4 linked regions of the Tamandua tetradactyla genome follow. The protein of the gene in region 2 interacts with the protein of the main gene of each other region in a biochemical or structural test. Links are inferred from orthologs where the notes say so. Each region holds a gene or a part of one and is shown on either strand. Other genes may lie near its edges. The genes, in order: TNFAIP3, IKBKB, MAP3K1 and NFKBIA.

Region 1 (7,903 bases), on a different chromosome or scaffold from region 2:
CCCAGCACACCTGAAGAGAAGGGGGGAAAAACCACCCCGTTAGCCCAGCTTTGCCATCACTCCTACATATCTGCCTGCAGGACACCCCAGGGTTTGAGCCTGCCATTACCCTAACCGGTGGGCAAAAGATCTGTCACCTCTATTTCCAGGACACTCGCCAGCCCTAAAGATGAACTCACACTAGACTGTTTTAAAGATTAGTCTAAACAAGAGCAGGGAGGTGGGGAGTGGGCACCGAGGAGGAGGAGGAAGAGAAGGAGGAGGAGGAGGGGAATAACCCGGGTTTTCAGTCATGTCTCTCAGGTACTGGGCCGCCTCCTCCATCTCAGCTCCCATTTCATTCTGACGCCCTCCTGGACTGCCCCTGGGTGACAGGTGACAGGCATGGTGTGGCCAGCAAGCCTGGAGGCCCTCCCCCCACCCACCCTCCCAGCCTACCCTGCAATCCTTGTTCTGACACAGAGTCTTCGTTTCTTTCTTTTAAGCACTCTCTTCCTGTCCTAGGACACTAAACATTTGGGGGAAAAGCCTACGGTTTTTCTGCTGTCACCTTGGCTGCTGATCCACGTTTTCTCCTTGCACCAAAGACTGACAGAATTAAAACAGGCTGTTTTATAATCAACCAAGAAGCCTATTTCCAGCAAGCTGCCTTGCAATTAGTCAGCACCAGCAGTCGGCTGTCCTTCAGAACCTCTCCGCCGAGCCCCACAACGTCAGAATAATACGTAGGACAGAAAATAACAGAATAATGAGCTATGCGCTTCTGAGAGCAGGCACTGGAGTGCAGTGATTTCAACTCGACTGCCAAGCAAATGTCATCATCGTTCTCCAGGTGACCACACGGATGCATTTCCCACCTGGCCTTTCACCCCCAAATCTACAAACATCACCAACCGGTGGGAAGAAATGAAGGGTGGGAAGCAGGAAGAAAGGTCCAGCCAGGACTTATGAAAGACAGCCCACGCCAGCCGAGTGGGATGATGTGAAGCAGCGGGACGTGGGAGCTTTCCAGCCTGTAGCTGAGGAGACCCAGCTCCTCCTCACCGGCCCTTCTAGGCTGCCTCGTCACATATCCTAATTTCAGGAAGAAGACGTAGGTGATTTCAGGGCACAGGATGTTGCATATCCCATCCCTGTATGGCACTCTTTGTGCAGGCAAGTCAAGCTTCCATTGAGGAGGACACTGACCCCACAAAGCATGGAAGAGAAGCAGCCCAGGTTTTAGGGAGGCCACTCTGGGGTGGGTTCAGGATCTCTTCAAGTCATTGAAAAAGTGTTTTAACCTCTCATGGCCCACTCAAAGGAGAGAGTTTGCTTCTGAAGAGCAGGGAATAATTTTGGATTGAGATTCTTAATCTGATGGCCGAGTGGGACCTGGGACAAGTCATTCTCTTGGGAAGATGGTGACTGTCCTTTGAGGTTAGTCATTTGCTGCAGATGAAAGTGGGCAAAATAATAACAAAGGGACAAACACTGACGGGACAAAATACCATGCACACTTCTCCCAGTGGCAGAGCTAAAGTCCCTTTCACGATGTCATTCATTCATTCATCTGTCCATCCATCCCTCTAATGAGCACCATCTGTAGAAGTCAGGTGCATACTTGATGCTGACCTTACACCCCCTCCATGAAACCTCACAGCCCTTCAAGCCTGTACTTAAGGCAATGGAGGCCCAGAAGCAGGGGACCTGCTCAGGCCACTCGGCCATCCCTGGGGGGACAGCTTTGTCTAGAAGCCAGGTCTTCCTATGCCTGCCTGGAGCACCACACCTGAGGCCTCTCAGACAGACAGGCAGCCAAATGCTTTTAGACAAGCTAAGAATAGCCTCTTGTTTCTCTGTCTCTCTTCTCCTCAGAACCTAAAGATCTTTCTGCAAATATCTAAAACAGTGAGAGCCTCAGACCATAGGCAGGACATGCAAATGTTGGTATCACTGGCCAGAGTCATCTCACTCATAGATTAAACTCTCATAACAAACAATATTGCCTCCTTCAAAGGAATGCAATATGACTGGTAACTTTTTTTTTTAAACAGTTGTTGCCTCACTTTGACGTCAAGATAAATTCCCAATTTTTGTCACTAGGACCAAGGAGATGCTATAGAACTTATCACTCAAAGTCTCTGTCCCCCTGTTTTATTTTTCTACTTTGGGCACATATTCTTGTCCACAATGGGGATACTTATGAATTATTTATCAACAAATTCCTCACTAGATCCCCAAATTCAAAACTTGTGCAAAGAATCGCAAAAAAATCAAAGAAGCAATTCAGCCAATGAGATTGGGGCATGAGCCAGGCTGCTCTGTAATCTGGGACATCAGGGTCTCCAGCAAAACGCCGCCCAGTGCCGCTGGACGGCAGGCTTTCCAAGGACACATCAGTGGCAGGGAGAACTGAAAACCCAGCGGTCTGGGAGAGTGGTGCGCCTTCCTTTCCTAACACCGCGACTTTCCTGAGCGACCAGGTGGCAGGATGTGGGACGTCCCGGGCTGACAAAGACCGACTGCACAGCTTTCCTCGGCTGGATCCCCCAAAGGCAGGCCACGACCCACTTCTGCATGCAAACTTGCCTGACCCCACTGCAACCACAGAGCGTGAACACGCCCTCCCGCCCCCTGCACAGGGCACTGAGCGTCTGACCGCGGTCCCAGGACAGGTGAATGAACCGGAGCCCCCACACCCTGTGCCTGGCTGGGTGAGGACCTAAGCCCCCTCCCCGTCGAGGTCGCCGCCCTGAACGGGCCGGCGCCGCAAGGTCTGCGCAGAGGCCCGGGCTGTCGTGCAAGGCTACGTGGCGGCGGGCATGCAGCGCCCTAGTTCCCAAACAGACGCCTCCTGGAGCTCGGCGCCCGCGGCCCGCCGACCAGCCGGACGCTCCCCCCGCCAGCGGCGGCTCAGGTTCTCGGCGGTATGTGCAAGGAACAGACCGCCGGGGGGCGCCCAGGGCTGTCACCCCAACATCTGGCGCGGCATCTCTCAACCCGGACGGGCCCCTCCCGAGAGTCCCGCCAAGTACGCACCGGCAGCGCGTGGCCACGGCGCGGGGTCCCTTGTCGCGGCCCCCTGTCGCGATCCGAGGTCCTGGTCAGCGTGCTGGCCGGCTCGGGAGCCCCATGGACGCAGGGCCGGGTGCGCTCGCCGCTGGGCTCGCCGGGGAGGGTCGTGCCGCCGCCGCTGGTCTCCCGGCGCCCTCTGTCGCCGCTCCGCCCCCGCGGGCTCGCTGCGGGGCTGGCGCTCGGCGGGCCGCGAAGGCTGCAGACTGGGCAGTTCTCTATTCTCGCCTTTCTGTTTTAGGGCCCGCCGCCCGCCGGGGCTTTCCACTCGGGACTTTCCAGTCACGTGACGCCGCGGGGCCCGCGCTGCCCTCGCCGGCCACCAGGGGGCGCGGGGGGCCGCCCCGCCCCGCCCCGCCGAGAAAGCCCGCGGCCCGCCCGGGGGTCCCCGGTGAGTCACCTGGGCATTTCGGAAGCGGGCCCCACGTCACATCCATGTGGAAATCGCGGTGATGGGAACGGGAAACGAAATCGGGTCTTTTTCTCCGTTGCTTTTCTGCAGAAAATCAGCGGCTGTGGAGAAAAAGAAGGGAAATAAAAGAGAGAAACCCGAAAAACCACCCTGGTGTCCGGGAGCCGGGACGGCTTGCAGAACTCGGGGCTGAGCACGGGATGGGCTAGCCGGGGCCGGGCTGGCGGGGTGACCACCTAGTGACACCCCCGAGGCCAGGCTTCCTCCGAGGCCAGGCCGGGCTGAGCTGCAGTGAGCACCGGAGCAGCCCCCAGCCCTAGCCGGCTCCGGTGCCCCTCTCCATTTCTGCGGCCAGGTCCATTATCGTCCTTGCCTGTCCCCAAGGCCTCATGGGGTGTCCTTTTAGATGTTCTCACAACCAGCTCACCCCCAAGTACCTGTGACTGGTAACACCGTGCTAGCCCCCTCCCCAGGTGCTGCTTGCTGGCTAATCTTCCCCTGGGGGCTGAAGCAGTAGGGAAACCAGCGCACCTGGCCCTGAGGGCTGTGGGTTGGGGGCAGGGCACCAGGGCTCCTTTAACTGCCTCCGTGCCTTCTATGCCCAGGTGGCCCAGGCACCTGTTCCCCAGGTTGGGTGATCTAGAGCAGATGGAAACCTCTGGACCACTGCGCCCTTAAGTGCACTCGGGGTACTTGAAGATGCCCCCTCACCCCCCCCCCAACTGCTGGCATCTCTCCCCTTCCCTTTCACAAATGCTTTCTGCTGTCCACACTCAAGCATTGGCACCTCAGGCTGGTAGTATTACAATGGCGACATTTATCCAGAACTTACCAAATGCCAGACTCTTGACTAAATGTTTGCAATGTGGCCTGCCCTTTAAACTCCGCAACAACTCCACTTTGCAGCTGAAGCTATGGAAGCTGAAGAAGCCTATGCAAGCTGCCTAAGTCTACACCACCAGTCAGTGGCAGAACCGCGACCAGGACAGGGTCTGTCTTACCCCGGAGCCCAAACTGGCGGGTCTTAACTTCTAGGTCACCCCCCAGCGTCCAGAAGGGCCCTGCGCAGATTTAAAGTCTCAGGGCCCCCACGGCCCCCACCGCAGGCACTGAGCCCGCAGGAATCCTGACAGGAACAGCCTCCTGGGCTTGCTGGAGGCCAGAGGAAATTGGCTATTGAGCGTCCTGCCCAGAATCCCAGCCAGTGGACCCCTCTCACCTCATGCTTCTTTGTAGACAGACGTCGCCTGCTCTCTCTCACCTCCTACTGGTTCTGCCCTGACAAGTCCCCCGGATTCCTCCAGCAGCTTCCACGGTCCCTTCTCTGCCTTGTGTCTTTTCCCCCGGTTTGATGAGCTCTAGAAAGGGGGGGCTCAGATGACAGACCAAGGCTGAGAGGCCGTTTTAGGTCTCCTACTTCTCACTGCCCCGAAGTAGCTGCTTTGCCATTGTATCCGCTAGTACATATAATAAGGTGAGAGGTCTGGAGCCCTCAGCTTTGTTCCCTTCCTCTGTTTCCTGTGACTCTACCACTGAGCCATGGTCCCTGTGAAGAGGTGTCCTGAGACCTGCCTGCCCTTCCCTGGCTAGTTTCTGCTGTTCTTTCCACCTCCGGGGTCAGGCTGCCTGTGGCTGTAAACTTAGCTCTCCTTTCCGAGTACTTAGCACTTGGCAAGACCAAGGGAGTATTTTCTTAGTGGTGAATCAGAAAGAATGGGTAGAAGAGGGAAGAGAGATCCCTGATGGCAGAGGGGATATAAAATTTAGGGAAATTTGTGGGAAGAAGTGAAACCAAGGAGATAGTGCCCAACAGCCTTGCAAAGGGCTTCAATTTCTGCTGTGGACCTTATCAAAGTGGACAGAGTGCTGCAAAGCGGAAGGAACGTTCTTTAACACCTGGTGGACACAGAAGGAAACCGCATCTCCCTGTTGGAGGACAGTGGCTTTGGAGCACGCCGAGGGTTGGGGAGTGTTCCTGGGAGATGTCAGTTTCTACCCGGGGCCAGCGTTCACATGGCATGAGTTGTGGCAGTGAGCATGCGTGGCCTCTGGGATGGGACAGTCTGTGGATTGTTCCTGCAGCCTGCAGCTTATGCCGCATAATTCCCAGGAGGGGCCTCCCAGGATACTGGGGAGGGGGGCGGGGAAGCAGTAGCCACCTGACTGAAGAGAGGCCAATAGGTGATAAGGGGAAGGGGACCCAAATCTGGCTCTTTTCAAGCCGCAGCTCACGAGCCTCTCTTAAGAGACAGTGACAAGGCCTTCCAGAAATTATGGGGAACCCCAGGTCTTGGGATCCGTGGTCAAACTGAAATCAAACCCATTGTGCCCCTTGTCCGCACTGCCCCTGACCCCTCCTTCCTGGGATTGTGCTTTATCAAAAGGAAGATTCACAATAAACATATTTTGGAAACAACCTTATGTAAGTATAGCACTTTAGTGATTGAGGAGGGCTTTGAATCCTGCTTCAAACCTCAGGATCTCTTGGCTGAGCTCAGAGAGGGCTGAAGTGTTAAGGTTGGCCTTTACTTAGGGCAGCTGCAAGCGCTAGTTCTGAGAACACACTAGATGCTGTGGGCCGTAAGGACAACGAGAACTGGGAAATAAGGCTGTAAATTTCATCATCACATGAATACCCAATTCTTTGGAGATCCTGCTTCTTATCGGGGAACCTCAGACCCCTGACAGGCTTTGCTGGGGTGGACGGGGAGCTAACCCAACGGGAACCAAGACCCTCCCCCGGGAGGGAAGCAGTTGGCTTCCAGCCTAGGACAGCTCCTCTTATTCCACTTTGCCTAAAACACAGTGTGCTGAAATCCAAAACTTGTCAGAAAATCCGATCCCTCTATGAATTCTGGCTTAGTTTCCTGTCAACACTTGGCTGAAACACTTGGCAAGGAATCTTGTTTTACATCATGAATATAAAGATCCAGTTTTTGGTTTCATTTCAGTTCTTGCGGTGGTGCCTACGAATGCCCAGGTATGAACCTGACAGGAAAGCCCTGAAACAGGGTTCCAGGAACAGACTGGTCAGTGCTGGCTTTGGAGGTAAGCCGGATGCTCCCCAGGGGAACGTCCGGAACAGGGCAGGCCACCGGGATCTTCCCTTTGACGTGCCCCGTTCTCTCCTTCTGTCCATCAGTCCCTTCAGTCCAGTTTGGGGTCCTGTAGTCCTGCTCTGCTTGCCACCCCCACCCTTCATCTCCATGAAAAGGGACCCTTTCGTTTTCCTTCTCCCAGTGCCCAGCTTTCTGCAACTGACTCATCTAATAAGATCAGTCATGTCCATTTGTTTCGAGCAGATTACCATGTGTTATTGCATTACGTTTCTTGGGAAAGAACTCCTTAGGCTTAATGGTGGGAATCTCAAGCACCTGAGTAGGCTGCAGAAGGCGCTACTATAAATCCAGGATTCTGAGAGTCCATGGTTGTAAGACATGCCAGGAATTTAACATCATGGCGGGTGGGGGGGGCAACTCCATTACATGAAATGTTCCCACCTCCCTTCCTTTACTCCCTGGCACGCATGGAATCCACATGATTCCACTCCTACTTCCTCTCACTGTAGCCATCCCTGTTTGGTTTTAAGGCGTCTTGGAGGTGTGTAAGTCTCTTGAGCTGATTTTGGCCTAGATCGCTGTACATTGCATTCTGTGATAGGCTATTTTCAGTAGTTGGCTCTTCTGGTCTGTTTTAGAACTTTAAGATTAACCAAAACATAGCATAACCCTTCAAGCTATTCTTGAGAGTCAGCTAGAAACTCAGAGATCATCCTTCAAGATAATGGGCTCAAGGACACATACTTGTTCTGGCTATCGAAAGGAATTTGCCATTACCTAAGCATGTCCTTTATCTCCATGGCACATTTAAGTACCTTTATCTCTACATGGGGACAAGGTCCAAAAAGGCCCTTGGTCCTTGCCTGACCAGAAACCATGGAAGAGCAGCCATCCTCCGATGATGAATACTTGCTTCCTTTAGAACATTTCCATGCACGCTTGTGCCATGATTTTCTTTTTAGCTTCAGTAGAACATCATAAAGTATCTTTTGGTAGATATTTTATTCAACAAATAGGAATCCAAATTTAAATTAAATTGAAGTTCTTTTCGAGCTGCAAATGCAAATAACTCAGCAGGGGTGAGTCTTGAGGTTCCCTCATCTTGCTGAGCTCAGGTTGGTCTGCCACAGGACCTCTGCACTTACTGTTCTCTCTGTAGGGACTGCTCTCCCATCCGCTTGGCATTCAGCTTTCTGCTCACATGTCATTAATCAGAGAAGTCTTTCCCAACACCTCCTTCCTGTTCAGTTTCATTCTCTTTGCAGCATTTATCCAATTGGAAAGTCTTTGTTTATTGGTCTGTTTTTTTTAATCTATCTTTTCCACACTAGAATGAAATGCCGTGAGAACTGGATATGTATCTGTCATCGTCCATCCC
Region 2 (7,569 bases):
TTGGACAGAACTCTTTTTCAAAGGAAACCAAGATGTCTCTAGTTAAGCTGCAGTGAGATATTTGCTGTAGTCAAAAGACTTTTAAAAGCACTGGCCTGTCCAGAGGCACCCAGCCCAGTTATACGTGGTGCTGGAGCATAATCTGGCTCTCTGGGTTTAAAATGAAGCCCTTGGCTAGACTATAATCTGGACAAACTTAAGCAGGTGGTATTTCTAAGGCCTCCTCAGCCAAGGATTTGCTGAAGTACTAGTTTCCACAAGGGGGGTGAAAATGTTACCACCTCTGCCTTCCAGCTCTGGATCCCGTATTCTTCCATGCAGTCAAGAGCTGGCAGGATTCAGGGCAGGGCCTAGAATGTCTCCCAAGTCAATGGCCAAGGAGAGTGGCTCTCTGGAGTGACCCTCTGCCATGGCTGGCCAGCTACCTCAACGTCTTGCAGTGCTGGCTGCAGCCAGGCTCTTGGGGAGTAGAGTACAATTTGTCATCCCTTTAGTCAGAAAAGGTGCTCAACAGCCCCCTTGATTAAAAGGATAGCTGCCTTTCTTCAAGGAATACAATGGCTCTGAATTTTGGAGCAGGAAGTTAATTTCAGCTATTTGGTGAGTGACTTAAGTCAGGGTTCCTCTAGGACAATCGTCTCCAAACTAGGTTTATGCACCCCAGGGGTTGCCCAAGATAATCTAATGGAATCGAAAAATAAAAAAATAAAAAATAAATTAAGCTCTTCTAATATTAACTGATGTTGGCACATTCTTTAGGTCATTTGTCAGAAGGTAACATGCCATGTTTGATATATCCTGAGGAAGGAGGCATTCCACAGGCAGAGGGGTGCCAGGGGCCTATGGAGACACGCTGCAGGTCATGTGCGCCCTGGTGAAGTAGCATTATGGATGCATTATCCAGTCTAAGTAAAACTGACAGTTACAGATTGATTCAGGCCCCCACCCTCCCTCAAAGACATGTTCAAGTCCTAAGCCCTGGTCCTGTGGATGTGAACCACTTGTAATCAGGATTTTTGAAGATCCTATTGAGACAAAGCCAAACTGAAACAGGGTGGGCCTTAATCCGATATGACTGGAGTCCTTATATGCAAAGGAAATCTGCAGATGGTATCAGGTGGATGAGGAGACAGACTACCAGGTGGCAGGCGGAGACTGAGTTCTGGATTACCAGCAAATCACTAGGCTCAAGTACTGGAGGAAGCACCGCCTGCAAGAGATCTTGACTCTGGACTTCTTCCCTCCAAAACTGTGAGATAATAAATTTCTGTTGTGTAAGTCAACCAGCCTGGGATAGCTCTTACTGCAGCCCTGGCAAACTAAGACAATAACTCTCAAAATGAACAAATAGCATAAAGAGATTCCTGCAGAGAACTTCAGGACATATCATACCTACACAAGCAAGGAGGGACATGGTAGAACCGGCACTTCTAGCACAAGTAGCTCATTATAAAGAGCAGGAATAAAAAAAATGAGGATCTGATGAAATCCAAAAAGAAATCAGTCTAAATAATTCAAAATTCTAAATCTGAAGTGTAGATTTTCATCCACTATCCTTAATGACATTCTTAACTTCTGTGCAGATCCAGGTATTTCACGTTGTAAGATACTGTAAATGATACTGAGAAGACATCACAAATAGCAAAATATTTTAAAATATTATTTCATTACCGTCATCCTTAAAATTTTCCTATTTTTGGGTGCTTTATAATAGTTATATATTAGCATGTAACAGTATATGACATTCTAATACTTGCATAAGTTTAAAATATACATAATTGGAGCCAAGAGCTTCACTTTATTGTTATTATTATTTCACTATCTATTATGGTGGTGCGGTCCATTAAAATTGGAGACTAACCTAAAAAGTCAGCTTAGCTGCCCCTAGAAACCCCCTTCCCAGTCCCTCTTCTCATTCACTGCTAAGAATTCCACCACCAAAGGCTAGCACCATTCACCTACCCAGAACAGTGTGGGGTAGAAATTTGCAGTGCCAAGGGGCAGTGAGAGAAGCGTGCCCCCCACCCCCACCCCTTCCCGGGCTGCACAGAGCCCCTACCTGATTGTGCCATCGGATGACGTTTCCAAATCCCCCTGTCCCAAGTCGTTCTTTCATTTCCCAAGCCCCACATGTCTGGGTTGGCAGGGAAGGTGACCAGTTCATTACTGACGTCCTGATAACTCTGTAAGCAATTGGGGATGGGGGGCAAAGGGTTATTATGGTTAAGAAAAAATGGGGCAGGTCCCTGCTCAAGGGGATGGAGAAGGTAAGAGATGGACTTGCCCTTTAGCGTGGGAGAAGAAAAAAACTGAACTGCTTTTTACTTAGCGAATAAACCGGGATTTTTTTGGTGTGGTTTTTTGTTTTTGTTTTTTTAGTTTGTGTTTTGGTTTTGGTGGCAAACTTTTTCTCTCTCATCACCTTCCATCCTCCCACTCTCGTGGGAGGAAGTAAAGAGGAAAGTCACTCAAGGGAGATGATGCCCTACACTCCATGACCTCCAAAGGGGATCCTCGGCTGACCTGCCCGCATCCTCCCACAGGGGACGAGAGAGTCTTGTTTCTGGGCTCCCCACGCTCACCTGTTTCTTTGCAAGGTTCTTTACAAGAATCACGGCTCCCTCCCAATGCCACCATCCTCTAAGCTGCCACCTGGAATCCCCAGGCCGGGGCTGTTCTCCTGGGCCTCCCAACTCGAACCCGTGGCCCCCCGACTTTTAAACTCGACAGAAGTTTCTTCCAGAGCCTCAAGTGAGGATGGAGACGGACAAGTGGACTTGGACAGAGGACCAGCGGGGTCTCCAAGTGGACACGACGCTCTCGGTCCCGCGCCCGCCCGTGGGACTCACCTGTCGGCAGGGACGCGGGGCGGGGGAGAGGCTCCCCGGGGCTGGGGAGGCGGGGCCTGGGGCAGCAAGACCAGGGGCTCTGGTACCACTCAGAAGACATTAAAATGCGGGAATCTCAAACCAACCAGCAGCGCGCGACTTCCTGAAACACTTCCTGCTCTGACGTCATGGGGCACGTGGGCCGGCGCACCGCTCTTAAAGGGGCCGCGGCGGCGCGTGGGCTCCGCCCTCCCCCCCCCCCCCCCCGAAGCCTGCCTTTCCCCAGGGCTCTCCGCCCCACGTGGCCCCCGGGAGGGATGCGGGTGGCTCCTGAACGACTGGGCGGAACTGAACAGAACTGTGCTCCCCGAGATAAAAGAGTCTTCAAACGAACCCCAGCACGCCAGTGTTCTCTATAGGGAAATGCCGGGAACCTGCAGCGGTGTCCAGGGCAGAAGGGATGGGGGATTTCCTCTGCCCAGCCCTGCTAGGGTAAACCTGACCTCGCTTCCCAGACGTGGAGCAGGTGGAATTTCCCCCGCGTCCCCGCTAGGATTGATTTAGGGACTGTTAGCCAGAATCGCTGTTGCCCTCCTGGGCTCCTGCTGCGCCTCCCGTGTCTGGAGGTTCCTGTCTCTGTATCAAGAATGACAAATCCCAGCTGTACTTCTCAGCAGTGACACCTCCCTCCCCGACCACCCCCTCACCCCCACACACACAAAAAAAAAGAAGAAAAAGAAAAAAAAAAAACCAACCCTAGTAGTATAAAACTGAACTCGAGTTTCAGCTCCAGTAAGGCTCTCGACCCGAGGTTAAGCGTTCATTTCCTCCGCACTTGGCATTATAATAAGGTCTTTAATATTAAGTTTCTGGATCTTGTGGCATTCTGTTGGTATACAATGGAGTTGTGTGTGTGTGTGTGTGTGTGTGTGTGTGTGTGTGTGTGTGTGTGAGTTGGTATATTTAATCAAGAAGGAAAAAGGGATTAAAGGAAACCTGAAGGTGGTAATAATAGCTCACATTTATAGAGTGCTTGCTAAATGCCAGGTGCTTTCCTAAACTCTGTACTTAGATTTCGGGTCATTTAAGGTTACTTTACAAATTAAATAATACTGCATTATTATTACCCTCACTTTGCAAATGAGGAAACTAAAGCATACAGAGGAAAACTCTTCATCTCAAAGCCACAGGGCTAGTAAATGGAAGATGTGAGATTTAACCCCCAGTAGCTGGTTCCTAGGCAGATGCTCTTAATATTTGATTAAAAATAACAGGCTAAGAGGTTCAACCTAAGGAGGCAAACTGGGTTTTGAATTCAGATACTGCTGTCAATTAGCTCGAAGAATTAAGGAGAAATTATTTAACCACTCCAAGCCTCCATTTCCTCTTCTTTTAAATGTAGGCAATATTAGGGTGAGTCACATGAAATTGCCATTTTTTAAATAAATCAAACAGCATCAATTAAAGTTCAGCAATTTTCTTTGGTCCAGCCTAAGAGCAGCAAGAGGACAGGAAGGCACACAAGTGGCAGAGGAGGTGCCAGTTCAGTTTCCCTGAGGGGCCAGTGAGGTAATGGTAACGGTAGTGCCTGACCCAGTGGACACTCCTGTCTTCCTAAACAGGGTCCAAGGTTGCAATTAACTTTGGGGAACATATTTCAGCTCATTAGCACAAAGTAATGATGCCTGGCATATTCCAAGTGCAATATACGTGTTTGTTTAATAATTAAATCAAATTAAACAAATATTTATTTAGCACCTACTTGTGCTGAGCTCTGCTTAGGATATGTATGACATCATGAAAGCTTCTTTTTAATCCTGTCACCACTGATAATCACTGTCCCTGAGAAATTTAGCAAGATATCCACTGACATGCCCAAGGTTGACTCTGCACCATTTTCCTTTGAGTTCTCATTCTGCTGAGTCCAGAACAGCTTGTTCTTCAATTGAACATAAATCTCTTTGATAAAGTCGCATACACTGCTAGTTTTTTAAAAAAATAAGTGCATGATGAGCCAGGAAAGAGCCTGTGAATTTTATCATGTCCCAAGATATTTATCATCTTAAACTCCTTTTTTCCTTCCAGATAAGATATGCCCAGAATACCGTGTCTGGTATCTTTCCTGCTCTGGAGGATGTGAGCAGACTGCTCATAACAAGACATTTTCAGATGGCAGCAGAAAAACGTTCCTTCTTCTTCCTGCTTTGAAACCGAGTGTCCTAGTTAGCAGAAGCTATAGGATAATCAAGAAATACTGGAGAGGGCATAGCATAGCTCTGGGCACCGCTGACCACAGGGAATTCAACCAATGCAAGTCTCATCACAGACACTTAGAATCTTATTGAGAACATAAGACCCACAGAGAGCCAACAGGTAACTGGAGATCAGAACAAGGCAACACAAACTCAGGTGCTAATTTGTTCTGCTGTAGAGGCAGTATAGTAGGTTAGTGATGAGGATAAGGTTTCTTAATATTGTTTCATTTAAAATAAAATCTTATTCCAGAGGAAGTCAAAGACAATGATTTTCTTAAGCATCTTTTTGTAGCATCCTTTGCGAAAACCCTGCTGCTATTGGAACACTGCCTCTCACCTTAACAGCAGCTGGGCAAAGCAACCCTGAGTTCCTTTGAATGAGGAAAGGATTGTTTTCTGAGCCACCTGAGAGGAGAGTAGGAAGAGTGAGCTTAGAAGATATCAAGACAATAAAATAGAGCACTCCATCTTGGGAGGATTTTCCTGGCACCCTAGTACCAAGTTTGTTTTCTCTCAGCCCTGCTGAGGACTCTGCAAGTCAGGGCTTGTTCCTTCAACAAACAAAAATTCTGCTGCCAGAAAGGTTGGAAAAACTTGTTTTGTTGAAAGGAATAAAGAAATCTGCCTTTCTTCTGCAAGAGTTGGTGGGAGATGGGGGGTGGACTGGCAGAGACTGAAAAGGAGAGTCAACACAGCTCGGATCTTCAGAGCTCAGTATAAGAACTGGCTGCAGAAGAGGAAGGAAAGAAATTGCAGGCAACTCCTATCTCTGAGAACAGGACCTGAGCCAGTGGTGAAACTTGGAGAGAAGCAGAGTCAGCCAAGTCATCATGCTTCAAATTTTGGGTGAAACACTGAAGGCTGGAAACTCAGAGCCCTGGGTCACCCTCCCTGGAGGGTGGCTTGGGAGAGGAAATCATTTTGCATGCTCCCTTCACATTTACACACACATGTTTTTATTCCAATAAAATCCATTTAAAGAGGAAGCAGTCACTAAAGGGCCCATCCTTTGTGGTGGAGAATCTGTGGGTATGAACTGGGCACATCAGCTGATAGCTGTGTTCCTTCATCACCTCAATTCTGAGCTCCTCCTTTGGCTCAGGGATTTTGTTCACTGCTGCATCCCCAGTGCCTGAGGCATAATAGATGCTCAAGAAAAATTTACCGAATTAAATAATCAGTCAACCAGTGCAAAGACCCGTAATGCTGCACTCTTTAGCATTGGATGTACGTGGACCCTGGAGTCTGAAAGAGATCTGGGTTTTAATGCTGACTCTGGCTTCATGGACTCAGACAATTTACTTTACCTCCCTGAGCCCTGGTTTCTGTATCTACAATCTACTCTTCCTGGTTATGTGATTTAAGTGAGATAATAGATGTAAAGAGTTTAGGACAGAGCCTGGCACTTTTTAAGCCTGCATGATTTTTTTGATGCAATAGCCTAGGTGTCAGCAGAGATTCCTGTCCTTATGATTCAAGTAAAATCGCTTCAAACCCTCCCCTCCCCTTGATGTAAAAGACCCTGTACCCTTTCTCTTTCCCATCTCTCCAGGAATTGGTGTAAGCGGTGGTGGAGCTGGCCTGTGGTGGCGCATGAGGCTAGTGGTATGTTTCTTACTCAGCCAATTCTGACTCCTACTTTCACTAAATTCCCAAACACCCTTTCCAAATAGGTCCTCCTCCCTACATGACCGGTTATTTTGTCACCACACTCTCCCCATCTAGTCCTTCATAGCACTCGTCACTACTTTTAGCATGTTATTTGTTTACTGTCGGTTGCCTGCCTCCCAGCAGTTAATGCTGTCAGTCCCCTGTCTATTCTAATTCCGCTGTTCTAGCATCACGTCGTGCTGGCCACACAGTAATAATAACAGTAGTAGCAAACATTTGACTGCTCAGTAGGTGCTCAGCGATGATGTGTATATTGAAGGAATTGGATCAGTCTATGTGTCATTTTTCATTCCTGGGCCTGTGATTTCTGTTCCTTATCCAGATGTGGAAGTCAGCCCTACTCCTTGATTTTATCCAATAATCATTTAAAGAAGAACTTCATATTCAACAGATTTTACCGGAGGTTTGGAGCGATGGAAGGGTTTATATCATAGTGCCTGCCACAAACACATTAAGATCTAATATCCGACAACCTCTCTCAAAAGTTCCCCTTGTCCAGCTCCTGGGCCCCCACCCTGCCCAACCCCTCTCCACTCCCTCTCCTCTCCAGCCCCTCAGGCCTCCTGCTCTTGAGCAAAGAGACAGATCCCTCCCAAGTTCTCCTGCACAGCAGCCCAGCTCTCCAAGGCCACAACTCCCAATCTGGGTTAGGGCCAGCAAGCATGAACCTGCCATCGTCGTGGGGTGGCGGGAGGGTTGGGGGGACATCCAGTGGGCAGCACAGGGCTTTTTTTGTTTTGTATTGTTTTTTCAATTTTTTTTAACTTTTTTTAATCGTATAGTATAACATATATACAAAGCAAAGAAATAAAAAA
Region 3 (7,934 bases), on a different chromosome or scaffold from region 2:
TCTTCAAAGACAGTACATGGGAAGAAAAAGCCCCTAATTCGGTAATAAAAGGAAAAATTTCAAACCCTTGGGCGCCACTTACAGGCACAAAACTTTTACTGATTTCAGTTTTTACTATGAAGAAGATTTAAAAATTTCCATTTATAGCTCACAAATGTATTTTCTACAACTTTGAATCTACATCCAAGATCAGAAACTAAAGAAAATTCTGAAATCAAAATTACAAAATTCTCCTTTAAAAAAATACATCAGGCCTTCAGACAGAGGGGCTCTTCTCAAATAAAAATATTTCAAAATCTCAACATTAGATTTTCCTCCTGAAAATACGAATGCAACTACTGTCAAAAAGTATAATGTAAAGTTCAACTGAAATTTCATTACTCTGCTTATAATTAGAGTGCTTATGTCCAAGCAAACCAAGTGAATTTCAATCCCATCACCAAGGAAATTGGAAAAATCAATGCATTTTAAAAGGACAGAGAATCACTATTTTACCATAAATAAAATATTTAGAGATGACATTTGGGATGAACAAATAGCATTATGGTTAATGAAATCATTTTTAAAAAAAAGATTATACTAACTACTCCAGTGTAGCACAGACTGCAAATTTTAATTCACCCCTTAACAAAGACAGGAAAAAGCTTAGGTTGTAAAACATAAAAATTAAGCATGGACTACTCAGTCCCTCAGTTCTGTCTCTACCTTAGTCCTCTTATTTTGAGTCAAGGAACTACACTAAACAACCTCTGTATATTATTTTCACAAAGGTTACTCTAATACTGTATTCACAATTCAATAGTAGAATGTCAAGTAATTACTAAAGAATTACCGTATCCAAAGAGTTAAGTCTCATGAGAAGAAATAAAATTAATTTCTCAAGTTTACAATTTTTATCTGGAATACATTGGTGGTAACAATTTGTCTTCAAAGAATTATCCCAGTTAAGTTTTAGTGCAATCTGCATGGAACAGGAAACTGCAGAGGAATAAAACTCTGATTGAGTTACATGTACAAGTGCACACAAATCTCCCTTCTTCCAATCTAGACATGAAACAGTCCTGGGCATATTTTAAAATTTAGTTCTTTTTTGGGGGTGGGGGCGGGGAAAGCGCTTGCAAATAATAAACGAACGGCGATTTTAAATAATCAAGCTCACAAAAAAGCGCCAAATCACATTAGAAAATCAACCCAAACTAAAGGTTCCTACTGTTAAACTCATCTCACAAGAAATACAAATCTATTACAGACACTCCTGCAGAACTTCACACGACTCATAGTACGGGTCTGGTACTTCTCTACAGGGCAACGGGTGACTTTCACAAAAACATTTGCAGCAACTCGAAATACCCCACCAAGACTCTGTGCTCTGCAGACACTGGTCAGATCTTTTTCAAAAACAGGAATGAAGGCTGTCACACTTAGTGTATTTCCTTTAACATAAAAATTTCCAGTTGCCCCAAAAAAAAAGGGGGGGGGGGGGTCAGGCCATGAACCGCTCGTCTGAACTATGTTACATACATCGTACTTCAAATGCACCACGGGTCTTATCTGAGCCGAAGCTCCCAGTACTGTGACCCCAGGAATTCGGCAGTCGGCGGGCGGCCCGCGCAGCTGCACAGAGCTGGAAGCGCCGCAACCGCGCCGCGGTTCCCGAACCTCGCCCGAGGGGCTGCGGCGTGCAGTCACCACCGCTTGGAAACTGAATGGCTGACACATCCGGTCCCGGCTCTTACACCACTCAGCCAAATGTAAACTTCAAAGGCCAAATGCAAACTGCAAACAGAAGTCACTCACGTCTTCCCGGACAGTTCGCGTTCCCAAGAACACTCGGAGCCCTTGGGGGACGCAATCAGAAAAAAGCCAGGAGAGACTGCAAGTCCTGCGAGTTTTGACAGGCATTACCCACCGGACACCGGGAGTCCCCTGCGGCCGGTGCTCGGAAGCACGCCGCCCCCGGCCCGGCCCGACCCGCGGTACCTGCCTCGGCACTCGAGCCCCCGGCGCCGCTCCCCACCTACCCCGCCCCTTTTCCGCCCGCCCGAAGGCTCCGACCTCACCCCGGGACACCAGTCTGGGGCCACCGCCGCCGGGCAGCTCCCCGCCCCCCTGGGCCCGGGACTCGAAACACCCCGAGTGCAGCGCGGGGGCTCACGCCCCGGGCTCCTCCGAGCGCCCCAGTTCCCGGAGACCCGCAGAGAAAGCCGGGACCCCCACACCTTATCGCCACGGGTGCCTGCAGTGCAGCTCGCACGCCTGTCACATGTCCGCAAACAATAACAAACTCTCCAGCACGTCCCCGCCCCGGGCCCCTGTCCAGTTCCCCAGGCCGGGTCCAGGGCGCCTCGCCCGACGCCGGAGGGGTCAGGGGGTGTATGCCCGGGGGCGGAGAGACCTCAGGTCGCGGCCAGAGGCTTGCACCCTCCCTGCGCCGAGCCCCGGGGACGCCGTGCACCGCGTCCGGGATTCATTCATTGCCCTCCACTCGTCCCGCAAGTCTCCGCCGTGCCCCCCGCCGCGCTGCTCACCCGGTGGGGACCGCTGCAGGAGGCGGCTCGGCGGCGGGTGCCCGCTTCTCCCCCGACTCGGCCCCCGCGGGGTTCGGGGCGCCGCTGTCCGGCGCGGCCGCCGGCTCCGCAGGGTGGGCGCCGCCGCGGTTCGAGGCTCCGTGGGGCGGCGGCACTGCCTCAGGATGGAAGTTGCTCCCGCTCGCCGCGGCGTCTGCGGGCTCCGGCGACGGGGAAGAGGACGGCGGAGAGGCGGCGAGGAAGAGCGGCGGGTCCGGTAGCTGATCCAGCTCCACGCTCCGCACTTTGCGCAGCTGCCGCCGCCGCCAGTCCGCCCGCTCGCGGCCCCCGCTGCCCGCCTCCCGCAGGAGCCCCGCGGCCGCCGCGGGCCCGCTACTCGACTTGAGGGCACCCCCGCCGCCGCCCGCCTCGGGGCTCGCCGCCCCGGCTCCCGGGAATCCCGACGACGAGGCGCGATTCCCCGCCGCCGCCGCCATTTTCTCTCGCGGGCTACATTCGCTGGGCCCCTGCGAGGGAGGGAGGGGGCGGGGAGAGCGCGGGGGGCGGGCGGACGGGCGGGCACTGCGCCGCCAGCGTAGGCCGCCTACGCCAACTGCGTGAGCGCGGCCCGCCGGGCGTTCTGCCGGTGGCCTGGGCCGGCTGCAGCGCGGGGTCCTGCCTGCCGACGAGGCGGAGGGCGGGCCGGCGGCGGCGCTGCAGATTGGAGGGCGTGAGCTGTGCGCGGCCGGGGCGAGGTGGGCTGGGCGCTGACTACAGCGGGGGCGCTGTAGGCTCTAAGCGCTGCGCCCGCCGCGCCGCCAGGTAGTCCCCGGGAGCACCGGCGAGAGGAGGGGTTTCGGCGGCGCTGTCGCGCCGTGTCATCTCCGCCGCAGTATCCCGCTGGCTGGTTCGGAGCTCGTCCGACAGCGGCTGCAGCGCCCGAAATAAATACTTAGTGTGAACCTGGGCTTGTGGTGCGTTGAAGAGGACGCAGGGAAGAGGGCTTGCACTCTGTCATTCGCGCTGTCCTTTGCAGTGGGCGTCGGGGCACTCGAGCGCAGCTCCCCCCGCCCCTCCTCCCGCCCGGTACGGGCCGTGCAGGTGGCGCCAGGGCTGTCGCCTGCTGCACGGCGAAAGAAAACCAGCGTTCAGCGGACGTGCAGCCGCAGACCATGACAGTATTAAGTTGCGTTTTTAAAAAACATTTTTCCTTTTTTGTGTCCCCCACCACTCGTAGACCATAAAGAGCAAAACTTCAAAGTTTTCTGGAATACCTTGTTCACATCCTGAAATCACTGATTTGAGACATCCCCAACCCGGTTGGACGCGGAAGGGCAGGTTCCCTACGGATCTTTGTTTTTTCCCTCGGCTCAGTCGCTGGGAGAGGCAGGCGAGTACAGGACCACGTAGAGCACGTTTGGAGAAGGAACTAGCGCTGTGCCAGGAAGTGCTCGACAACGCGGTCCTCAGCCTGGCCCCGGCCCTCCCCGCCCCCCGGGGGCCCCTCGCTGCGCGGCCCTCTTACTCGCGGGGTCGGGGGACGGAGCGCGTTCCTCCCCCCACCCCCTGGCCTGGCGGTGTCAGCAGCGGCGTTTGAACCACTCCAACCCCCAGGAGAATCCCTGCGATACGGTGCCCTGGGATGGAAAAATCACCGTTTACATGTTCATGTTTTTTCGAAAAGCTCGGTAGAGTTGTTTTGTTTTTCTTCTCTCCCTTCTTTTCCTTAAGACGGTTTCTCTGTATTGGGAAATCTCCCAGAAGACAGAAGGAGTGCCCCTAAGATTTGTTTTGTGAAAAATTAAACAGACCTGACCTGACGTGTGTGTGTGTGTGTGTGTGTGTGTGTGTGTGCGCGCGCGCTTGCTTGTTTGCTTGCTTGCTTGCTTGCTTGCTTGGGGGGAGTGTCATGCAGAAAGAGAACTTTCTTGTTAGTCTAAACATACTTAGACAAAAGCCTGAGCTGTCTAGGTAATAATTCCTTTGAATTCTTGAGAATACATACAATGAAAGCCCTCTTTCCAGGTATAAATGTGATATCGGAGCCGAATTTTTTAAGGGTACTGATTTTATATTAGCTCGGTGTCTTGAATGGTGCTACACCAGCTGCCATAAGAGTTTTAGGTAGTTACGTCCAACGGTACAAATTTTGAAAGTTTGGATAAATCTGTTAAAATTTCAAGTCTACATTTAGGCTATAATTATATGCTGTTTTAATGGTAGCCAAGTGTATCATTCAACCCAAACAGTAGTTATTTCCCAGGTCTTCCGGGATTGCCACACCCACTAACTCCTAAATTGAAAAGGATAAACTTTCCACATTCCTATTTAGATCTAAAAACCTTTAAATTTACACACACACATCCTCAGGTAAGTGAGAAAATTGAGTGGAAATGTGAAGCCTTTCAAAATTGTCCCAATTTTGAAGTTTAGGCACAGTTGCAAAGGTAAAACTGGACTCCAGCAAAACATTTACCTTTGCTCTTTATATGTCCTTGTGACCAAAGCAGAGGGGTACCACATGCAACGCTAGTTACTTTCTCTGACCATCTCAATCTACCGCACACCAAACACTCCCCATCTCACCCCTAACAAGAAACCTGACTGATGGTCTGTCCCAAGTTTTTGGTGTTTTGAATCATTTTACTCTTAATCTTTTATGTAAATATTCTGGTTGCCGTTAGGCATCCACACTGACAAGCTGACTTTTTTTTCTTTTTAAAGAGAGAAAAACAATCAAAGGACCTGCATGACTGAAAAGCCATACGTTAAATACAACATCTTCTTTGAGAATTTAACTGCGTAGAATTGTTAACATGGTTTCTGAGTTTTAAGTATGGGTAAGACTGTAGCTTCTGTGTTTGTTGGATCTCTATATTACTGCACAGAGATATAGGTCAGTTATCAAGCTATTCTGTACACTCTGAGTTGCTTTAATTTGATTTCTTTAATGACATTAAGGAGACTTCAAAGATTGCTTCTGGAGCTGAATATTCCAGTTACTATTTCCATCCTCACTCAAGGATACAAACCTTGCAGTGGTTTCGTTTATGTCACAACAATTTTTGTAACCTTTACGCAGTGCTTTACAGATCACTGCTTCTAGTGCTTCTGGGAATCACCTAAGACGCACTTCAGTTCCTACATCACATTCATTTGCAGGATCTAGTTTAATGTTTGTGCGTTTCCTCGTTGTGCACAAATATCTCTGATGTTGAAATGAACAGACTTAATATGCAGTGGCAGAAATAGTGCAGACTGTACATTGTTCATCATATATTTATTAAGCACGTACTACAAATATACAAAGAGTTTTCTCTTGTGGTTATTAGGCTGACTCTAATAAAGTCAGATCTACCAATATGTACATATGTATTCATGCCTCTGTTTGAGAGATCTATGTCTTAGGAAGGCATAAGAGTAAGAATGTAAACTTGAGAGTAGGGCAAAAGCTGGTGTTCTGCCATGCTTTATAAATACTTACTGGGGGCAGGCCACAGTGGCTTAGCAGGCAGATTCTCTCCTGCCATGCCGGAGACCTGGGTTCGATTCCCGGTGCTAGCCCATACCAAAAAAAAAAAAAAATACTTACTAGGAAATGCTTGCAGAGTAGGGCTGGGACTTAGTTTCTCTATGCTCTTTCTAGACACCATACTTCCCAGGTGTTTCTAGATGTTCTGAGTCCTGAAATCTTGTCATCTGTAGATAACCAGTCCCCCCAGAAGGGCATTGTAGGTGACATTATAGTACAAAGTCAGCCAGCCTCCCCTTAGCTGACGCATTCATTAACACACACCCATCATCCTTATGTACAACCTGCTGAGGGGTGACAGGGCCCAATGAATGTCCATGGCCAGTGGCTGGTATGCACCTGCCCACATCTGCTTCCACCTGGTGAGTCATGGGCCCTGCAGGAACCACTTGTATTTGCTCCCAAACCTGATTAGCCTATTATAACTGTCCTTATGAAATTTAATTAAATTTTAGGAAATTGATTATTAATAAGCATGGGTAGATGAGTGCCAAAAGAAAGTTGTTCCAACAAAAACTTAAGTTGAATGCTTCGAAAGAGTGAATGAAGGCAAGTCACTGAAAACAAATCTATCAAATTAGTTGTGGGTGTGATGATTGTAGAAGGTTGGAAAAAAGTTCTCAGCTTCAGAATAATTTACTTTGTAAGTAACTATCACTTCTCATTTGGTGTCAAAGAAAGTAAAACTGAACATTGTAAGCATGAGAAAGATGTGTGGAACACTAAGCAGTCAAATACTGGCAAAAAGTCCCAAACCAACCCCAAACAAAACTCTATTATTTATATGTTTTAAATGAAAGTAGAATATTTAAGCTATTTTATGTTTCCATTTTCATAACCAACCATTTAAACATATTGCATTTGTTTGCATGTACTTAAAATAAGAATCCAGTTTTCAAAGTAAATAATAAAATACAGTTGGATTGGAATTTTAGATTTAAAAATAAAACTACAACCTATTAAATTTAATCTATCTTGTAACAAAATTCTGCTTATAACTCTGCACTGATTCTTTGAATTCTTTGAATGATCCATGTTGTTTGCTGGTTTTTGATGTATGATGAGATATCCTTTGTGTAGAGCTGACTTTAATGGCTTAATAGGGACTATAGTTTTTGCAAAAATATTCAAAGACTTAATACATTTTTCCCAAGAACCTCCTGAAATATTCAGATTACTTTCTTTGGATTGGTATCCTTGTCAATTTTCCCTTCCTTTGTAGTTCACTGTTCCAACTCTGTCAAATCCTCTATTGACCAGACTTTGTGTGTGATCCAAGAAGTTTGGTACTACTTCAATCTTTTGTAACGTTTGCACTTTCACTTTGCAATTCATTTGAATTGTTCTGGGGCCAAAACTGTTAAACAAGTATACAAAATTGGCATCCACTGGAGCAGCTGCTGTCCAATAGTAATATATGTAATTTAAAATTTTCTAATAGCCATATTTAAAAACCTAACAAAATAGGTGAAATTAATTTCAATAATATATTTTATTTTTCATAACATATCCAAAATATTATCATTTCAACATTTAATCAATATAAAATATTATTGAGTTTGTTTATATTCTTTTTGTTTGTGGGCGCACTACGTCTTTGAGATCTGGTGTGTATTTTACTTACAGCACATTTCAATTTGGACTAGCCACATTTCAAGTGCTCATAGCTGCATATGGGTAGTGGCTGGTATATTGGACAGGACAGCACTAGAGTCACAGTATCTAAGACCTATGAGTTTTATGTTCTGTGAGATGCCTCATTAGGCCAGATTAGTGTATAATAAAAAAAAATTACATGTACATGCTCAGGAAATAGGTAAAAAACACTATCTATATAAATTAGGAACAAAGAAGGAAATAGTCTTCTACTTCCAGTAGCTAACCTTTCAAATAAA
Region 4 (7,727 bases), on a different chromosome or scaffold from region 2:
ATTTTTCTTGTCTCACTCATAGAATTCACAAAAATAAAGGCTGATCCACCACAGTAAAATATTTTGGGCCAAGCAGTGGGCAGTGTGGTTTTATGTACACCCTTTGAATTTTTTTCTTTTTTCCTTTTTTTTAGAAAAATAAAGCTCTCCTTTTGTACAAATATACAAGTCCAGGTTCTTTTATACATGTTCCATTTATAATGTCAGCCGCTGGCCTCCAAGCACACAGTCATCATAGGGCAGCTAAAAATGAGAGGGAAGAAAAGCACATTAAACTTCCAGAACTTTAACAAGACGTTGGGAAGACAGTGAGGATTCCTATTGGGAAATAATTTAAGTCTTCTTGGACTCCATTCTCAACAACCCAAAACATAAATGAACTTTGCAGGCTGAGGGAGTTTTTCTTTAATGTTCCTCTCCTCTAAAAAGGTTAAGCTACAAACAGAAAAGACACGCTTCGGGGATAGTGTTATTGCACTCAAGTTTGAGAACTTCATTGTTGAGACTCTGTGATTAAGAGTAGCTCTCGGGGCATGGGAAGGTGACGGGCCCCTCATCTTTTTTGTGGGTGTTGAAGAAGTTCAATGGAGACTCACCTCGTCCTCTGTGAACTCTGACTCCGTGTCATAGCTCTCCTCATCTTCACTCTCTGGCAGCAGCTGAAGGTTCTCCAGGGTCAGCTGGCCCAGCTGCTGCTGTATCCGGGTGCTTGGACGGCCCCAGGTGAGCTGGTAGGGGGAGTAACCCTGGTAGGTAACTCTGTTGACGTCAGCCCCACACTTCAACAAGAGGGACACCAAGTCAGGATTCTGCAGGTCCACTGCAAGGTGGAGGGCAGTCCGGCCATTACAGGGCTCCTGAGACCAAAGAGAATTAAGAGATGCTTACAGCTGAATTTGGGATTTCTGCTTGCAAGAAGTCTTATTCAGGAAAGGGGCTCTAAAGCCGGACTCACTCCATCTGGGAGCAGGAAGCACTCACCTGAGCATTGACATCAGCACCCAAAGACACCAAGAGCTCCACGATGCCCAGGTAGCCATGGATAGAGGCTAAGTGTAGACACGTGTGACCTAGAAGAACAAAAGGAAAAAAGTTTAACCATTTGTTTCAAGCCTCACACCTCAAACAGAACCTTCCACTTATTCTTTTAAGGGACAATCAGCCATGTCTTCTAAATTTGAAGGATCTCGAATTTGGGGTCTGAATTAACATTATAAAGGCATCAAATAGTGGGTCTATTCTCTCAAACTTTCTCATGTTGAGAGTTTAGGGTCTCACCAGGACTCAGACTGTTGGCCCACCTCCCCCCTCCTCCATGCCACCCGTCCCCTGGCGGGGCAGGCCGACTCGCGTACCATTGTAGTTGGTGGCCTGCAGGATGGAGTGGAGGTGCTGGGCCTGGCAGCTCTGCGTCAGGACTCCCACGCTGGCCAGGCAGCCCTGCTCACAGGCAAGGTGCAGGGGGGTATTTCCTCGAAAGTCTCGAAGCTCAGGATCACAGCCAGCTTGCAAAAGAGCCTCAGCAATTTCTGGCTGGTTAGTGATCACAGCCAAATGGAGTGGAGTCTACAAAAATAAAAAGGAATAGAAACAGAATAAACCATGGGCCAAACCTGCAGTCAGGGTCTCCTGAAACCCCAGGCCCCTCCCAGTGGTGGGTGCTGCTCCTCCCAGACAGGCCAAGGGGCGAGGAAAACACCAGAGGCCCCAGGTGGACTCTAAATCACCCAGTCCATGGGATATGCTTTTCTCTGTTGGATATTTGCTGATTAAAATGTAAAAGGCCGGGGCCTTTAAAGATCAGTGACTGTTGGTTTAGAAAGGATTTGGTGGCAATTGTGTCAGGGCCAATTTGTCAATCCAGCTCCATCACAGGGTCAGAAAGGGCCCCGGGCTAGGCGAGCAGCGCACCTGCTGCAGGTTGTTCTGGAAGTTGAGGAACGCCAGGTCCCCCTTCACTTGGCGGATCACTTCCACCGTCAGGGCCTTCTCTTCATGAATGATGGCCAAGTGCAGGAACCTGAGGGGAAGAGAGGGGGAAAAAAAACCAGGGGGTGATGAGTGCACCGTGTGGGGCCCAGGGAGGTGCGGGCTGCGGGGGATTGCGCAAGGCCGGGGTTTCTGGAGGCCGAGGCCGCGGTGTTTTCCGCGAGGTTATTATGAGCTGAGTGTTCCTGGCAGGCGCCCAGGGACTTTCCGGGCCCCCCCTTCCTCCTCCTCGGCGGGCGCCGGCCAGACCGCCCCGCCCTCGCGCCGGCCCGGAACGCCCTGTACTTCCCCTCGGGGCTGCGAGGCGCCTGCCAGCGGGGCAGAAAGTCCTGCCCACCCAGCCCCCCCACCCCTTATGCAACCCAGGACTTCGCGTCCCCGCCGCCGCCCCGCCCCCGGCCCCGAGGCCCGAGCCTCCAGGAGGAGGGGGGAGGGGAAGGGGAGGAGGCAGAGGAGGGGGGGCGTGTGAGGAAACGCCGGAGCGCGTCGCCGAGCTGCAGCCGGGCCCGCGAGCCCCAAGCCCAGCCCTCCCCCCGCCGCGCAGACGTGCAGCTCCGAACGTTTTCGCGGTCGGTGCCCGAGCCCCGGGGTCGCTGCCGCGCCCCTGCCCTGCTGCGCCGCGGCCCCGGCGGCTCCCGCTGCAGGCCCGGCGCGCACCCACCCTCCCCACCCCGGCTCGGCCACACTTACGAGTCTCCGTCCTCCGTGAGCTGCTGCTTCCAAGGCTCGGCCCCGCGCGGCGCCTCCTGAGGCTCGAGGCGGATCTCGCGCAGCTCCTTCACCATCTGCTCGTACTCCTCGTCCTTCATGGAGTCCAGGCCGCTGTCGTGGCGGTCGTCCAGCAGCCGCTCCTTCTTCAGCCCGTCCCGGGGGCCCTCCATGGCCCACGCCTGGGCGTGCTCGGCGGGCTGGAACATGGCGCGGGTTCCGTCTCCAGGCGCGGCTCCCCAGGTGCGCTCGGCCACGGGCTGCGCGCCTCCTCGCAGTGTCGCTGGCGGCTGGGGCTGCGGACTAGCACTGTTGTGGCTCGGCAGCGCCGCCCCGGCGCCCTATAAGCGCTGGCAGGGGATTTCTCCGGGGCGGGGTCAGGCGCGGGGAATTTCCAAGCCAGTCAGACCAGAAATGAGAACTGGCCCCATTCTATGCTGGGGGGGAAAAAAAGAAGCCTAAACCCTGTGCTGGGGTTCAACAGAGAAACTCCCTGCGATGAGCCACTGGGGTCATATACAGGGAACTTTTTGATGAGCGCTGGGTGGCTGGAAAGTCCTTCTGACAAGGGCCCCTCCCCCCAGGTACTTCCCTGCAGTCTGCACTCAGTAATTCTGTCCTCTGCAAAAATCCTTCTTTCCCTGGGGTTTCCCTTGATTTATTCGACTTAGGGTCGTCTGCGCTGCGATCCCCAGGACGCAGACCCGTTGGGCGGATCCACACCGGTGTTTGCCAACCTGCAGGGCCTTTCCGTTTTTTGCTCTTTTGAAAACCCAAGAGTGGAAATGATGGCTGGGTGTAGGGATTCGCTTCCCCAAAATTCAGTCTGCGGGGAAGGGCGGTCAGGTGGTTAGGTCGCGGGCCGTACTGTGTTCCTGCCAATACCAGGAACGCTGTGCCTCTTTGCAGAGCAGAGGCATTTAGCTTTTCCTGCCTTCCCAGGTAAAAATTGTGAAAGCTTTGGCCTTAAACCTAAATACTTGGAAAGCCCTCAAATCATTTCCTTGGGACTGTTAATCCTGTTGACTGGGGAAGGGGCAAGCACTCCTGCCCCTCTTTCTGGAAAGTGCAATATATAATCATAATTCATTTGAAGTAAGGCAAGTTGTGAATCTGTGCAGGAGGAGTTATAGATTTGCTATAAGAAATAACCAGTGAGGTCTCTTTCTTTCATTTGCATTGTGCAACTGCAGGGAATAGGCCCAGAACCTTCTACTGGGTGCCTGATGGGCAATTTCCCTGGAGCATTTGAAGAAGGATGCTGAAGCATGAGTTTAGCAGCGTCTTACCCAAGGTTGGACCATAAGGACCACCACAAAAGTAGCTGCTAGCTAGCGTGTATGGGGCTCAAGGCAGCCCCAACACTACCCCGCTGGTGCCCTTGCTTGCTACTCTTGACCTGGGGGGTGACACAGCTGGACCTACCCATACAGTGTGGGTAGCCACACAGAAGGGAAAGGGATTTGGGCTCACCATCCTCTGGTTTCAACTGCAAATATAGAAACTTACTCTATCTGTCCCTATCCCCACCTCCAAGTCAGCAAGCCATAAATTGAATTCATGTGCTTATAGAATTGCCCAGGCAAAAGAAAACAGTTTAGGTCAGAGGTCTTGAGAATTAGCCCCGGGGGGGTGGGGGGGGGGTGGGGTGGGTTCTACAGTTCTGCAGAGCTTTCTGGTGATTACTGCAATCATCTTTGCCTTGACTGGCCATTACTGTGAAACTTTCCCCCTGTCCACATCTCACCCCCACCCCCAACATGCCAATGTGGGGAATCTGGGTCAATGGGGTTGAGAGAGGAAATCTGAGGGGACAAAAAGTAAAATCAAGAAATAAAGCCTTCAGAGTGGCAATGATAATATATTAAAATGAAAACTGTCAGGATAGACTACATCCTCTCTGCAGGCATTTGATATGCAAATATACAATTCTTGAGGCAAAGTGGAATAGAGACTAAAAATAGGGCATCTCAACCCCAGGCTCTGCCTCTAATTAACTGTATGTTACTTTGGTAGATAGTTAACTATTCAGTAGCATACATGCTTTTAAAATAATAAGATTGGGTTTAATGCTATTTAGGGTTTTTTCCAGCTTAATAAACTATATTATGTCGCCACAAATGCATCTCTAACCCTGATTTGTAAGGGAGACCCTAGCTCTTGGCATATTGTGGTATAAATTTTTGTAAGGACTCCAACACTTTATGTATCACATTGTTAATCCTAAAAAGAAACTGAAATAAAGAGAAATTTACCCAGACATCCCATGGTAGTTTACCTAATTTCTATCCCAATATATTAACCATTTAGCAAAGCAGTCATAGTATTAACAATTTTGAAGACACATTGTGAAAATGAGACTGAATATACTATAATTTGGAAGTTACTCGAGTATTTTCTGCTCCAACTGTTAGGTAAAACAGAGGGTAGGTGTTCCCCTAGCTGGGAACAGTAACTTCTTTAAAAAAAAAAAAAGCTATAGAAATGGCAAACACTAAATGCCCTATTTACAAAGTATATCTTAGAAGAGGATTTTTAGCTAAAGAGTTAAAAATATGAATTATAGGTCTCATATTTAGAAAGTAAAAAGAGAATTATAGGTGTCCCCACAGAAGCTTTGAACAACCAGCAAGATCTAGTGGAAAATAGTTAAAGGACTGTAGAAACAGGATGAGCACTGAATCAAGAAAAAGGCAATTTAAGAGCCTAGAATCTCTTGGTATCCTGGCTGGCCACCTTCCCAGCCCTCACCAACTTGGCTCTGAGCCAGCCCATCCTCCCAGGGCGTGGATGCTTAGTCCCAGTTTCAGAGGGAGCAGAGTTAACGCTTGTGCACATACTCAGAACCTGTAGGTCTGGCACAGTTTGGTGGTGTCCCAGAACTTGCCCTGAGCGAAGAAGCAGCATGTGGAGCTCTCCTACAACATACTATGGGCAGCCAATAAAGCCATGGACCTGGGGCAAAGGATTGCTGGTTGGAGGCTTGGGGCAAAGGTTTGCTGGCTTTAGGACATACAGAGCTGTGCCTGGGACTCTGAGGAGGCTCTTTCCTAGGGAAGAGGGGACATTGTATCTGTGTAAACAGGGAAATTCCTAGGGCCACATGACCGTGGGTAGAAAGGAAGGAGGTTGCATGCTTTGGCCTGGAGCTATTCACTAAATTCTTTGTATAGATAAGCATTGAAGAAAAAGCACTCATAGAGGTCAATCTGTAAAGACTAGGAAAAGTGTTTTCTTTTTTTTCCCCGTCTTTTATTTTTTCCCTTAGCCCTGGCATTTAAAGAAAGCTCTATCATTATGCTAGCTGGATCCAAGCTTAAGGAAATAGATGCCTCAGAGTCTAAATTCCAGTGATAACACCTTAAAGCATTAAATGCCCAGGTTCCAACCAAAGATTATAAAACATACAAAGGAATAGGAAGTGATGTCCTAGGCAAAGGAGAAAATTAAGGTATTAGAAATCATCAATGAGGATGACCAGACCTGTGACATACTAGACAAAGTCTTTTAAAAAATGTCCTAAAAATGCTCAAAGAGCTGAAGGAAAACATGAACAAAGAACTTAAAAAATCAGAAAAATGACAGATGAGCACAAAGAGATTATCAATAGAGAGATAGAAATTGTGAAAAGGAATAAAATAGAGCTGAAGACCCCAATAACAGAAATTTATAATTTCCTGGAGGGGTTCAACAGCAGATTGGGAGTGGTAGAAGAAAGAATCCATGAACTTGAAGACAATTGAAATCATTCTATCTGAGGAGCAGAAAGAAGAAAGAAAAATGAACAAAGCCTAAGGAACCTGTGGAACACCTTTAAGTCTACCAATATATTCATTGTGGAAGTTCCAGAAGAAGACGGAGAAAAAGGGGCAGAGAGAATATTCAAAGAAATAATGGCTGAGAACTTCCCAAATTTAATGAAAGACATGAACATACTATCCAAGACACTCAACAAACTCCAGATAGGATAAACCCCAATAGACCCACACTGCATTATATTATAATCAAACTGTTAAATGCCAAAGATAGTGGATTCTGAAAGCCTCAAGAGAAAAGCTATTTGTCACATATAAGGGAACCTCAATGAGATTACGTGCGGATTTCTCATCAGAAACCTTGGCAGCAAGAAGGCATTGGGATGACTTAGTTAAAATACTGAGAGCAAATAATTGCCAGTGAAGAATTCTATACCCAGCAAAACTGTCTTTCAAAAGGGAGCAGTTAAGACATTTCCAGATAAACAACAGCTGGAGGAGTTCGTCACCACAAGACCAGCACCACAAGAGATGCTAAAGAGAGTTCTGCAGCTTAAAAAGACAGGACAATAGGCAATTGATCAAAGCCATATGAAGAGATTAAGATCTCCAATGAGGGTAATGACATGAGTACATATAAATGCCAGTACTATCGTATTTTTGGTTTGTAAGTCCACTTTTTGCTTTCTACAGAATTTAAAAGGCAAATTCATAAAACATAAAGAGAAATCAGTGGTTTAAGACATAATGTAAAAACATTTCATTTGTGACAGGAACTACAAAATGTGGAGAGACAGAGAGCTATAGAAATATAATTTGTGTATATATTGAAGTTAGGTCGGTATCAAAGCAAATGAGATTGTTCCAGATTTAAGATGTTAAATTTAAGCTCCTTGGTAACACAAAGAAAATATCGGAGAATATACATACTCGTAGAGTACAGAGTGCCAGGGACAGGGAGCAGGGGAAATGGGGAGTTAATTTAAAATGTGTATAGGGTTTCTGCTTTGGGATATAAGAATGTTTTAGTAATAGAAGGTGGTGAGGATAGCACAATATAAGGAATGTGATTAATTCCACTGAGTGGTAGGCTTGGGAGTGCTTGAGGTGGAAAAGTTTATATTGTATAAACATTCCCATGATAATAAAAAAGAAAAAGAGCAAGCAACTAAAGAAACAATGACAATTAAAAGCATTACATGATCCTGGACAGGATCCGGCAAGAGAGGTGAGAAGGCTGAAAAAGAATATTATTGGGACATATGAAAAAAATGG

What was found.
Region 1: of the proteins of IKBKB (region 2) and TNFAIP3, one has a biochemical effect on the other in vitro, tested with the Homo sapiens proteins (2 studies listed by BioGRID and IntAct). The link is inferred for Tamandua tetradactyla from reciprocal best matches to the Homo sapiens genes IKBKB and TNFAIP3.
Region 3: of the proteins of IKBKB (region 2) and MAP3K1, one has a biochemical effect on the other in vitro, tested with the Homo sapiens proteins (3 studies listed by BioGRID and IntAct). The link is inferred for Tamandua tetradactyla from reciprocal best matches to the Homo sapiens genes IKBKB and MAP3K1.
Region 4: of the proteins of IKBKB (region 2) and NFKBIA, one has a biochemical effect on the other in vitro, tested with the Homo sapiens proteins (58 studies listed by BioGRID and IntAct, with this or other methods). The link is inferred for Tamandua tetradactyla from reciprocal best matches to the Homo sapiens genes IKBKB and NFKBIA.

The regions. Positions count from the first base shown.
Region 1 is NC_135351.1:38,077,307-38,085,209, reverse strand, and holds the start of TNFAIP3 (tumor necrosis factor alpha-induced protein 3), read right to left. Parts: upstream 3,008-7,903; 5' UTR 107-3,007; coding exon 1-106. UniProt on the Homo sapiens protein: Ubiquitin-editing enzyme that contains both ubiquitin ligase and deubiquitinase activities.
Region 2 is NC_135329.1:17,816,734-17,824,302, reverse strand, and holds the start of IKBKB (inhibitor of nuclear factor kappa-B kinase subunit beta), read right to left. Parts: upstream 3,003-7,569; 5' UTR 2,850-3,002; intron 2,673-2,849; exon of another isoform or gene 2,583-2,672; intron 2,184-2,582; 5' UTR 2,165-2,183; coding exon 2,060-2,164; intron 1-2,059.
Region 3 is NC_135335.1:103,417,127-103,425,060, reverse strand, and holds the start of MAP3K1 (mitogen-activated protein kinase kinase kinase 1), read right to left. Parts: upstream 3,012-7,934; 5' UTR 3,005-3,011; coding exon 2,529-3,004; intron 2,408-2,528; exon of another isoform or gene 2,220-2,407; intron 1,980-2,219; exon of another isoform or gene 1,910-1,979; intron 1-1,909. UniProt on the Homo sapiens protein: Component of a protein kinase signal transduction cascade. Activates the ERK and JNK kinase pathways by phosphorylation of MAP2K1 and MAP2K4. May phosphorylate the MAPK8/JNK1 kinase.
Region 4 is NC_135340.1:18,276,602-18,284,328, reverse strand, and holds the start of NFKBIA (NF-kappa-B inhibitor alpha), read right to left. Parts: upstream 3,008-7,727; 5' UTR 2,907-3,007; coding exon 2,680-2,906; intron 2,021-2,679; coding exon 1,912-2,020; intron 1,567-1,911; coding exon 1,356-1,566; intron 1,071-1,355; coding exon 982-1,070; intron 858-981; coding exon 597-857; intron 244-596; coding exon 196-243; 3' UTR 1-195. UniProt on the Homo sapiens protein: Inhibits the activity of dimeric NF-kappa-B/REL complexes by trapping REL (RELA/p65 and NFKB1/p50) dimers in the cytoplasm by masking their nuclear localization signals.